Linked DNA regions of Neurospora crassa OR74A. The protein of the gene in region 1 purifies or fractionates together with the protein of each later gene. This does not show direct contact. Links are inferred from orthologs where the notes say so. Each region holds a gene or a part of one and is shown in the gene's direction. Other genes may lie near its edges. The genes, in order: NCU05363, NCU11053 and NCU02967.

What was found.
Region 2: the proteins of NCU05363 (region 1) and NCU11053 purify together in Saccharomyces cerevisiae (affinity purification with mass spectrometry; 5 studies listed by BioGRID, with this or other methods). This does not show direct contact. The link is inferred for Neurospora crassa OR74A from reciprocal best matches to the Saccharomyces cerevisiae genes RPT6 and NAS2.
Region 3: the proteins of NCU05363 (region 1) and NCU02967 purify together in Saccharomyces cerevisiae (affinity purification with mass spectrometry; 7 studies listed by BioGRID, with this or other methods). This does not show direct contact. The link is inferred for Neurospora crassa OR74A from reciprocal best matches to the Saccharomyces cerevisiae genes RPT6 and NAS6.

Annotation. Positions count from the first base shown.
Region 1 is NC_026502.1:1,421,674-1,425,427, forward strand, and holds NCU05363 (26S protease regulatory subunit 8), read left to right. Parts: upstream 1-1,222; 5' UTR 1,223-1,522; coding exon 1,523-1,757; intron 1,758-1,848; coding exon 1,849-2,783; 3' UTR 2,784-3,552; downstream 3,553-3,754. UniProt on the Saccharomyces cerevisiae protein: The 26S proteasome is involved in the ATP-dependent degradation of ubiquitinated proteins. The regulatory (or ATPase) complex confers ATP dependency and substrate specificity to the 26S complex.
Region 2 is NC_026501.1:9,335,697-9,339,198, forward strand, and holds NCU11053 (26S proteasome non-ATPase regulatory subunit 9), read left to right. Parts: upstream 1-1,510; 5' UTR 1,511-1,654; coding exon 1,655-1,807; intron 1,808-1,868; coding exon 1,869-2,276; intron 2,277-2,354; coding exon 2,355-2,483; 3' UTR 2,484-2,977; downstream 2,978-3,502. Other genes in the region: ran (GTP-binding nuclear protein GSP1/Ran, variant), read left to right, coding at 3,402-3,461. UniProt on the Saccharomyces cerevisiae protein: Acts as a chaperone during the assembly of the 26S proteasome, specifically of the base subcomplex of the 19S regulatory complex (RC).
Region 3 is NC_026501.1:8,551,727-8,555,002, reverse strand, and holds NCU02967 (ankyrin repeat domain-containing protein), read left to right. Parts: upstream 1-1,324; 5' UTR 1,325-1,469; coding exon 1,470-1,518; intron 1,519-1,618; coding exon 1,619-1,644; intron 1,645-1,704; coding exon 1,705-1,833; intron 1,834-1,911; coding exon 1,912-2,421; 3' UTR 2,422-2,705; downstream 2,706-3,276. Other genes in the region: NCU02966 (pre-mRNA splicing factor prp46), read right to left, coding at 1-957; NCU02968 (hypothetical protein), read right to left, coding at 2,738-3,276. UniProt on the Saccharomyces cerevisiae protein: Acts as a chaperone during the assembly of the 26S proteasome, specifically of the 19S regulatory complex (RC) and appears to have an overlapping role with RPN14.

The DNA of each region.
Region 1 (3,754 bases):
CTGAATGACTTGGATCCAAGTCGCCATCATGATGCCTCGATCCTTGGCAAGTATTGGCGCATCTGGAACCAAGACGGGAACGGCGCGAGGGAGGATTTGATGTGACCGCCGCGTGCACCGGTTGGCCAGCACGGTTCGCTGCCATCATGATGTGGAGGGTGAGAGAAGGCAAATGGTCTCTCCCGGTCGACGCCGGTCTCAGGTCATCATGGACCGTGATGGATGACTGATCCTAGGTTCACCACCAGGGTGGCCGGGCTTCGGTGCCCTGCTTGGCTTGCCGGGTTGACAACCCCCACTCCATCAGCTGAGCTGATATCGCAGGGCTGCCTCACTTCTCATCAGAGGTATATATTGAGTATCACCATGTTGAACCGCGGCGGGTAAGAGGAAAGCACGGTGTAGCATGACTGCGACGGGTATAAAAACGGGTATACGTACGCACTTCAGGACGGTATGCGTAAAAAAATGATTGGTCATTCTCATGGTGGAATAGAGTTTCCTATGCCAAGCGACCGTCCTCTCTCTCATTCACCGAGACTCAACCTTGACTTCGAACCACAAAAATGGTGATCAGTGTTATTTCGGCTTGGAGAAGGCAAAAACTATCTCAGTCACACTGGAGGGGCAAGTTAAGGATCGCTCATATAAGAAGCCACCTGATACCTTAGCTCCCTAGGTAGCCGCCTGAAGAAGGGGTATGTAGCTGAACGACGGGCAGGCTCATGGAAATGAAACATGTGCAGTGTGACATGTGCAGTGCGCCCTCCCTTCAGTCCCATCTATACAGGCTGACGGGCAGTTGGAAAGCTTGAGTAGGAGAAATGAGAATGGGAACAGTAGAAGACAAAAGTAAAACTTGAAAGACGCAGTGCAGAGCGAGTCCTCTCTTATGCTGGATGACGAGCATCTGCAGGGAAAGGTGAGTATGCGTGCTGGTAGCAATCGTGACGGGACCGCGCCGGAGCATGACGAGGACTTTTTTGGAGTTTGGCGAGATTGGATACCACAACCCAGCACTGCACTGCAGCATGTGGAGTCGACGACGCAGCTGGAAGTGACATCATTTCAAAGGGCATCCATCTTCACCTTCAAAGCTCCCCTGCAAGTCTGGAGCCACGAGGTCACGTGTAACCCATCAAAGCACGAGCCTCTGCCGTTTATCGGTACGTACCTTATCCTGACATGGCGCTCTGATACCTAGTCTAGAGGCGGGAGCTGAGTCTTGGCATTGGGAGCCGGCCGGGTGTGTTGCGTTGACCTGAAGCTGCCTGTCTTCAGAAGGTCACCGAACGCCATCACCACCTCCACCCGGCCATTTCACCACCAGTAAACATCACCACCGCAACCCGCCACCACGATCGAGTGTCTGCGCATCGCAACACACAACTAATCTCGACGAGCAAGCGACGACCGAATACCGACCACGCACCCAAGGGCAAACCTATCCCACCTTACACAAAACAAACAATCACTAATCCCCCCCCGCGAGAGCTCCGTCTCTCCCCCACACGCCGTCACCATGGCGCTCGACAACTATTATCACAACAAGATCGAGGCCATGAAGCTCGAGATCCTCAAGGGCCAAGCCGTCCTCCGCCGTCTCGAAGCGCAACGAAATGACTACAACTCGCGTGTGCGCCTGCTCAGGGAAGAGCTCGGTCTGCTACAACAGCCCGGGTCCTATGTGGGTGAGGTCGTCAAGGTTATGAGCACAAAGAAGGTCCTCGTCAAGGTACACCCTGAGGGCAAATATGGTATGCGCACTCCGCCTCCTTCTGGAGTGTCCTGTTTTACGGATGGGTAAACAGATGGAAGTAACTGACCTATTGCCCCGCCGCCTACCAGTTGTCGATGTATCCGACAATGTCGACATCACCAAGCTCACCGTCGGCAAGCGCGTCACCCTTCTCTCAGACTCGTACAAGCTCGAAAAGATGCTTCCCTCCTCAGTAGACCCGCTCGTGTCCCTCATGATGGTCGAAAAGGTGCCCGACAGTACTTACGATATGATTGGTGGTTTGGACCAGCAAATCAAGGAGATCAAGGAGGTGATCGAGCTCGGCCTCAAGCACCCCGAGCTGTTCGAGTCGCTAGGTATCGCCCAACCAAAGGGTGTCCTGCTCTACGGCCCTCCCGGTACCGGCAAGACCCTGCTCGCCCGTGCCGTTGCCCACCACACCGACTGCAAGTTCATCCGTGTCTCGGGTTCCGAGCTCGTGCAAAAGTACATCGGCGAGGGTTCCCGCATGGTACGCGAGCTGTTCGTCATGGCGCGCGAGCACGCGCCCTCCATCATCTTTATGGACGAGATCGACTCCATCGGCTCTTCGCGTGTCGAGGGTTCGTCTGGCGGCGACTCCGAAGTCCAGCGCACCATGCTCGAGCTCCTCAACCAGCTTGACGGTTTCGAGCCCACCAAGAACATCAAGGTTATCATGGCCACCAACCGTCTCGACATTCTCGACCCCGCCCTCTTGCGCCCTGGCCGCATCGACCGCAAGATCGAGTTCCCTCCGCCGAGCGTCGAGGCCCGTGCCGACATTCTGCGCATTCACAGCCGCAAGATGAACCTGACGCGCGGCATCAACCTGACCAAGATCGCCGAGAAGATGAACGGGTGCTCGGGCGCCGAACTCAAGGGTGTCTGTACCGAGGCCGGCATGTACGCCCTCCGCGAGAGGCGCGTGCATGTCACACAGGAGGACTTTGAACTGGCCACGGCCAAGATTCTGAATAAGCATGATGATAAGGAGGTGTCGTTGGCCAAATTGTGGCGTTAAGTCTGCCCGGGGAGGGGAAAAGTGAAGGAAGAGTGGTGGTTTCATGCGTGCAACGATATGATACAGAATACAATAGTACTTTTATGGGAAAAGTAACTGACTCAGCTTTTTTTTACTTTCCTTGGTGCATCACTCTCAAGACTGCCTTTGTCGTCTGCATAGGCTGTCTGAAAGTGTATCGTTTTGTACATTCCAAGATTGAAAGCGGTCCTTGGCAACAACGGAGTATACCTACTCTCTCCTCTAGCGGAATCAACAGAATGGAGATGCAAACATTACCGTTGACTTTCAGACGTATCCTGGGCCCTGTTGCCGCCTTGACTCTGCACTAGGTCATTACCGGATTTCAGAACAACGGTCACACGAAGACGAATATCATGCCGAAACTGAGAGTAAATTGTGCATTGGAATGGCGTCGGTCTCTCGAATGTCAAATGGTTATTTGTAAGCTGCGTGGCCATCCGTGAGGAAGTGGCGAACCCTCATAGTATCTTGAACTACAGTTTCTGTCTTTCAGGGACAACTACAACCTGTAAAGCCGCGCCGGCACGAAAGACAAATACCGAGACGAAAGGATATTGTGCTCCAAGCTACTAACACAAAGTCCCAGCCAAACTCTCACGAAACCGCGCCATGCAAGAACTAACTTACAAACCACAGACCAAAACGAGACGCCTATTCACATGCAAGTTTTCAAGTACTCCAAACACCAGCAGCAGTAATACTTTGAGCGAAGTTCAGGTGATGGCAAATGGTTCATGGTAATGGTAACAATGGAAAACGACAGGAAAAGTGCAGAGAAGGGGGTACTGGGAAACTTGAGGTATACGTAGACAAACGTACGACAACGACAACAACAACAACAACACACACCCAAAAAAAAAAAAAAAAAAAAAAAAAAAGGCAACAACAACGTAACAAGATGATGACACGCTCTCCCACCAACCGGCCAGCCAACCCAAAAATATGCT
Region 2 (3,502 bases), on another chromosome or scaffold:
TTAAGTATAGAATCCCTTGAATAACTTTCAATTATTAGTTTAATATCTAATTAGAATCGATTAAAGTTATTAGGGAGGCTAGTAAAAAAATATATCTTCTCTTCTAACTTCGAATTCTAATATTTTAACTAATAGCGAATATAGCCAATAATTATCTTAATAGAAATAAGTTAGGAATATAAGTAACGCTAATTATAAGGAGTATATTTTAAATAGGAAATACCTTACTTATATACTAAATAAATTTATAAAATAGCTTTAATTCCTTATAGCCCTATATTTCCCAATACATTCTAGCCGCCTATTACCCAACTAATTATAAAAATTATATTAATAAATAATAATTACCATTAATTAGGTTATAGTAATATAATTAAAGCCGGGGATAAATTATAGATAAATCTATACTTAATAATTCGCCTAGCTAAGGGGACTTTATCCTATTGAAGGCGGATTTAAAATAAAAGGTTTATAACTTCTTCGTCGACTATAGGTATAAACCCTTATTTATACACCTACTAAATTCTATAGTCTAAATATTTACAATATTTAATACCAATATATTTGTATATAGTATAATAATAGATAGCGTTATTCAAATAATTAGAGGAAGTTTCCTTCGCAAGCATTTTCCTTGCAATACAATATTGGATCTAGGATATAAGAGAGTAATTAGATATTAACTTTATTTAAATTACTATTTTATTTTAAAATACTACCGTTACATACCTCGCTCTATAGAGCCTTAACCTAATCTTCGGTTAAACTATTAATATTTATAATATATACTATACTAAGAGTAGAAGACTTAGGGTATTTTAGAATAGTAATTATATAGTATATTATTTCGATAAAAATGGAGTATTAATTGATATTATTAAATAAAATAAGCGTTAGGCCTATAGTTTTAACTTTTATATAATTAATATTATAGGATTAATTATTAATTAATATAGGATATATTTAAAATATATTAATAAAGATTTATTAGGAAATTATTAAGTATTATAATATTAAGAGGGGTTATATCCTTTAAATCCTTTAATTTATTAAATTCGGCTACTATACTAATAATTTACTATAATTCGAATATAATAGACGGTCTATTAAATACTTTATTATTCTATTTAATTAAATTAAGCCTAGTAATAATAGTTAAAGTATTAGCGTTAGAAATAGGGTTAGTACTTATTTTATATTAAATATAATAAATTAGAGATTAATTAGGGATAGATTACGTAGGTGTTATTACGAATTGTTGTGGAAGGTTTACGGAAGGGTGAGTTCGGGCTAATATTATTTGGACTTATATATTTCTTATTTGTAGGTAAGTTTCGTTTATTGGGATCAAAAGCGCCGGTTATTTCTCTATAGGGAAAGTTAAAAGGTATGTATGCGACGTATTAAAGGGGTGATAGTTAATTGAGAGATTTTCTATAGTGTGGGGTCGGTCTTAGCGTATCCACTTGGGTTAGGAAGCTTTGGGTATGGGGTCGGGTTATGTGAGTACTCTACAAAGTACCTACCTAGGTAATTCACGAGCCAGCTAGGTACATACATACTCCAATCTGAGATCGAGATCTCATCATGCTTGGTGATTTCCACAACTGAGGCTTACCCTTTATAAGATATTACGAAATTACAACCCTTCACCATGAGCAATCTTCATGCGCCTACTGTCCCCTCGGGACCGACTTCTGCCCCTGTCACCAACGGCAGTGCTGCCCATCTATCCTTTGCTGAGCTCCAGCGCAAGAAGGATGCTATCGAGGGGGAGCTCAAGGCGCTCAGCGGAGTGCTTGATTCGGTTGGTCCAGTTTATATCCTTCGAGCCTTCATCATGCCAGTTGACTGATCAAATATTCCAGCACGGCGTTGACATGAACACAAACCTCCTTACTCCCGATGGCTTTCCCAGATCAGATATCGATGTTGCGCAAATCCGCACAACAAGGTCGCGCATCATCCATCTTCGCAACGACTACAAGGAGCTGATGGCCTTGATCGAGAAGCGTCTGCATGAGCATTTCGCCAGCATCCAGGACGACGACGAAGAGTCAACACCTGTTCCCACGGATCAATCCGCACCGCTGCCAGACTCGGTACCCGAAGTCCTGGAGCAGCCATTTGCCAAAGTCAACAGTGTCGTTGATAACAGTCCGGCGGCCACAGCAGGTCTCAAGGCCGGTGATCTGATTCGCAGCTTTGGTTATGTCAACCGGTCCAACCATGACAGCCTAAGGAAGGTCGCAGAGTGTGTTCAGGGTAATGAAGGGGTAAGTCGTGCCAGGCTCTGTCCATCCTCAGTAGTTGCCAACCTAGAGAAAGCTGAGCTAACCGGGTATACTTCGTAGCAAAATATCCTCGTCAAGGTCTCTCGGAGCACGGCAGGGACACGAACCCAAGAGCTTCGGCTAACGTTGACTCCTCGCCGCGACTGGGGCGGTAGAGGTATGCTTGGATGCCATATCTTGCCACTATGAAAAGGCAACCGGGGCGAGATGATGGCCTGGAACTAGGCAGAAGAAGATTGTGATACAAGAGTAGCGTCATTGGGCACCAAATCCGCTCAGATATGTTAGGGAAGAATCAGGATGCGCCATTGCCGCCTGGAAATGAGGCCTCTTTGGGAATTTGCTTTGTAATGAAGGAAACGACGGATCTGAGACTGACTGGCATTCGAAAGATGAACCAAAAAGCCAAGACGCCAGGGGGTTCTCCCTCACCGTAGTAACGAGGCCAGAACCAAAACAAAACAAACGAGCTTGAACGAGCAAACCTGATGACAAAATGGAAAAAGAGATAGATGGATAAGGTCGATGCCATGAGAGTGCGCATTCACTGTAGCCCAACGCTTGAAACCTCTGGTAGGTTCAGTTCTTTGTTCCCGACACGCGACTGTCAGCACGTCAGCACGTCAGGAGCAGAAAATAAGACACGAACGGACGGCATTGCGGCAAGACGGAGTGAATGGCAGCCTCATCGATCGGTTTGACTTTGCGCGCATCAGGTTCGTTGCCTTCAGTTGGTTGAGGGTACCGCACTGACCAGGCGGGTCACGTGCCCGTCACCTAACAAGCACCCCGCCGCCCAACGAGTTTTTCGTCAAGGCTGGTGGCCCATTCATTCCCTTGAGCGGCGGTGCCTTGAAAACACAACATCATCCACCAGGCTGTCTGAGGTCCACTGCTTCCTCTCTTTTTGACCACACCCATTTTCCCACCCTCTGCAAAATCGCAAAGGTGCGTCTCTAGTTCGATTTGGATCCCTCCCTCCCTCGCCCTTATTTAACCATTCGATACCCCGCCCATCTGTGTCGCTCCGACCGGTCGATAGCTGACTTTCCCAAAAGGACTTGTTTACCTGCTTCTTTTCGCCTGCGATATTAAGCATCATACACAATGGCTGCCGCGACCCCTACTTTCAAGCTCGTCCTCGTCGGTGACGGTGGTACCGGCAAGGTCAGTCCACATCCCACCCTCCGCGAACATGGACGGTATCA
Region 3 (3,276 bases), on another chromosome or scaffold:
TCCAGAGAGGACGTGAATGTTGCTTCTTGTCCGCATATCCCACACACGCGCGACACCGTCGCGACCGCCTGTTACCAAAACATCCAGTGTAGGATGCAGCGCAAGGGTATAAACACCGCTGAGATGGCCGTGGTAATGTCGGATAACCTTGTTCGTCTCCAAATCCCAGCACTTGACCATCTTATCCTCACCGCACGAGAACAGGTATGGGTGTCTCGGTGACACGGCCAATCCGCGAACCGTCGAGATGTGTCCGGTAAGAGTCAACTTCAGCGCTCCTGACGCCAAATCCCAAATCTTGATAGTGCGGTCGCCTGCGCCCGAGGCAAACCACTTGTTGTCCGGTTCTACTGCCAAGGCACGCACCCACCCCAGATGGCCCGAAAGCACCTTGAGAAGCTTCCAAGGTGGGTGCCAATCTGGCCTGGGCTGTACCAGCACGTCGGATCGCCGCGCCAGGCTGTTTGTTTGGGGCTCGTTTCGTTGCGCATTTGGTCTGGTTGACGACGCGCCAGCGCCGCCGGGCTTGCTGCGCGACAGGACCAGAGCATTCGAGTTGGCGGCGGCGGACTTGCTCGGTGGGATACCCTCGATGAGTTTGCGGGCGTGTTCTTCGGATTTTGAGGGAGCCTCTTCGATGGCTGGCTTGGCCTTCTTTTTGCGTGGTCCGCCGGCTGGCAACTTGGAGGCAATGGCTTCGGGGAGGGTCTGGACGTCGCTGTACTCGGCGTGGAGACGGAGAGATAGGCCGGTCTTGGTGATGTCGGGATCTTCTGACGCAAGCCCAGGGTCGAGTTTTAGACGCTTTCTCCCGGAAGTGCCAGAGGCATCTGTAGTTGTGGCTGTGGCGGCGTAGATGAGTTTCGTTTTTCTAGCGTTCTCGCGGATCATGGTCGAGAGCGGGTTGGTGTCAGGGCCAGAGCCATTGGCGGCGCTGTTGGCAACCTCGGCCGCCATCTTAAGGGTCGGATGTCGGATAGGTAGGGTCGTTTCGTCGTTTGGGTTCTTTGTGCGAATTATTCTTCAATATAGCCGGAGGGGGTTTTGAGTCGGTTGTTGTGATGAAATCCGAATTCGAGCCGTGGTTGTTGACTTGATGTCAAAGTTGAAGTTGAAGACTGGATGCAGTGCGTGATGAAAGTGATACAGTGTGCTGAGCACCGACGAGCGCCACCGGCGCGGCCTGGACGCGGCTGGGAATTTTTGCTGACGTCCTGGCTTGGGGGAGCTTGGGCCACATCTTTTAGCACATTTAGCGTCTTGGCAAACACAGTCGAGCTCACACTGTGTGCCTCTTTCGGACTTCACACACCTCATGGAAGCTCCCGGGGGAAGGCATCACTTACATGACGTTCAACTCATGCAACAGCATCATCACCATATCAAACAAATCCTTGGAACTCAATTCAATCGACTTTCTGATTGACTTTGAGGCCTCTCTTACTGAGTAATCCATCTGCTTGATCAATATGGCAGAAGACAAGTTTGCAATTCACGCTGCCGCTAGGGATGGTAAAGGTGAGCATAGAAAGCTCCAGAACCCTTCAAGCTGAGCAGTTGAGGACACTCGTTAAACCATCCACGAAATGACTGAATACTGACATTTTCACAATCTCAGCGTCCATCGTCGAGTCTCTCCTCAATGTGAGTGAGATGTCGTTTCAAAAATACGTATACTTGCAAAATGACTAAACACACAACCAGGCCAACCCCAAGCTCGCTCAACGCAAGGACGACGATGGCCGTCTCCCCATCCACTGGGCCTGTTCCTACAACCGCAAGGAAGTCGTTGAGCTACTCGTGAACCAAAAGGGTTTTGATCCCGATGTTGAGGTAGGAACTCTCACTTTTTTTTTCTCCTTTCCCTTCCCTCTGTTCACTCAGCACTTACAACTTACACCACACAACCAGGACGACATGGGCTGGACCCCCTTCATGATCTCCGCCTCGGTCAAAGACTCCGACGCCATAATCGACCTCCTCCTTTCCCGCGGCGCCGACATCAACCAAACCAACCACCAATCGCAAACCGCCCTACACTTCATTGCTTCCAAAAACAACATTGACCTCGCGCGTAAGCTTTTGTCTCCAGACATGAAACCCAAGCCTGCCTCGGTCCGGGTCAAGGACAAACGGGGGCAATACCCCTTGCACCGCGCCGCGGCTATTGGGTCCGTGCCGATGATCAATCTTTTGTTGCAGCACAAGTCGCCGATTAATGCCAGCGACAACGCGGGGTATACGCCGCTGCATCATGCGGTGGCCGAGGGACATGGGCATGCGGCTGTTGCGTTGTTGAAGGCCGGGGCGGAGACGGACAAGAAAGATATGGATGGATATTTGGCATTGGACTTGGCGCCGGATAAGGATGTGAGGAGGTTTATTGAGAAAGAGGCCGAGAAGGAGGGGATTGAGCTTTAGGTTACCCCGTTTGCAGGTGCAGGTTGGGGGTACGTGTGGCGAAGATGACACGATGAGGAGAACGAGCGTTGACTTAATTTGCTCCGGAAAAAAGGGCGATGAATACGAGATAGTGATGCTATGGGCTAAACCAAGGTTTATGGACATCAATATCCAAAATATTAGTGAAAGCCATCCTTAGTCACATGTCCATTAGAGTCCCCTTCCCTTCATACCCACACGACAACTCATTTTCATTACCAGCCATCTTGAATAGTTTATTATGTATGCAAGAATCACTACCCAGTCCGTCCCCTCTCACTCACCACTCACGACCTCATTTCATAGTCCTCTCCACCAAATCCCTATACATGTCCTTCAAATCCTGCACATCCGCCTTCAACTCATCCACCTCCTCGCTCTTCTCGCCCAACAGCTCCAGCGTCGTCTCATATCGCTCATTCACCTCCGCCACCTGCCTCTCCAGCTCAGCCACCCTCTCAGCCGCCTTCTTCTGATTCTCCACCTCGCCCATGAGCGCCACAATCTCCGCCCGTGCCTCGTCCCGCTGCTTGGAGATGCGTGCCAGCTCTTCGCGCACCGTCACCTTCTCGCTCTCAAGCTGGCGGATCTTGGCACTCATGCGCTCCACGAGCTGGACCGAGGGCCCGGCGGCGATGGTGGATACGGAGACCATGTCCTGCAATACGTTGTGTGGAGAGGAGGACGAGTCGACGCTGTCGAAGCCCGTGTCGGAACGATGGAGCCCAGCGCGTGGGTGCTGGATCTCGGGTGCGCCACCTGCGTCTGATGTCTGGTGAATCGCGGATGAGGGTGTGACTGGAGGCATGGATTCTGTAGTGGGACTGAAGAGGG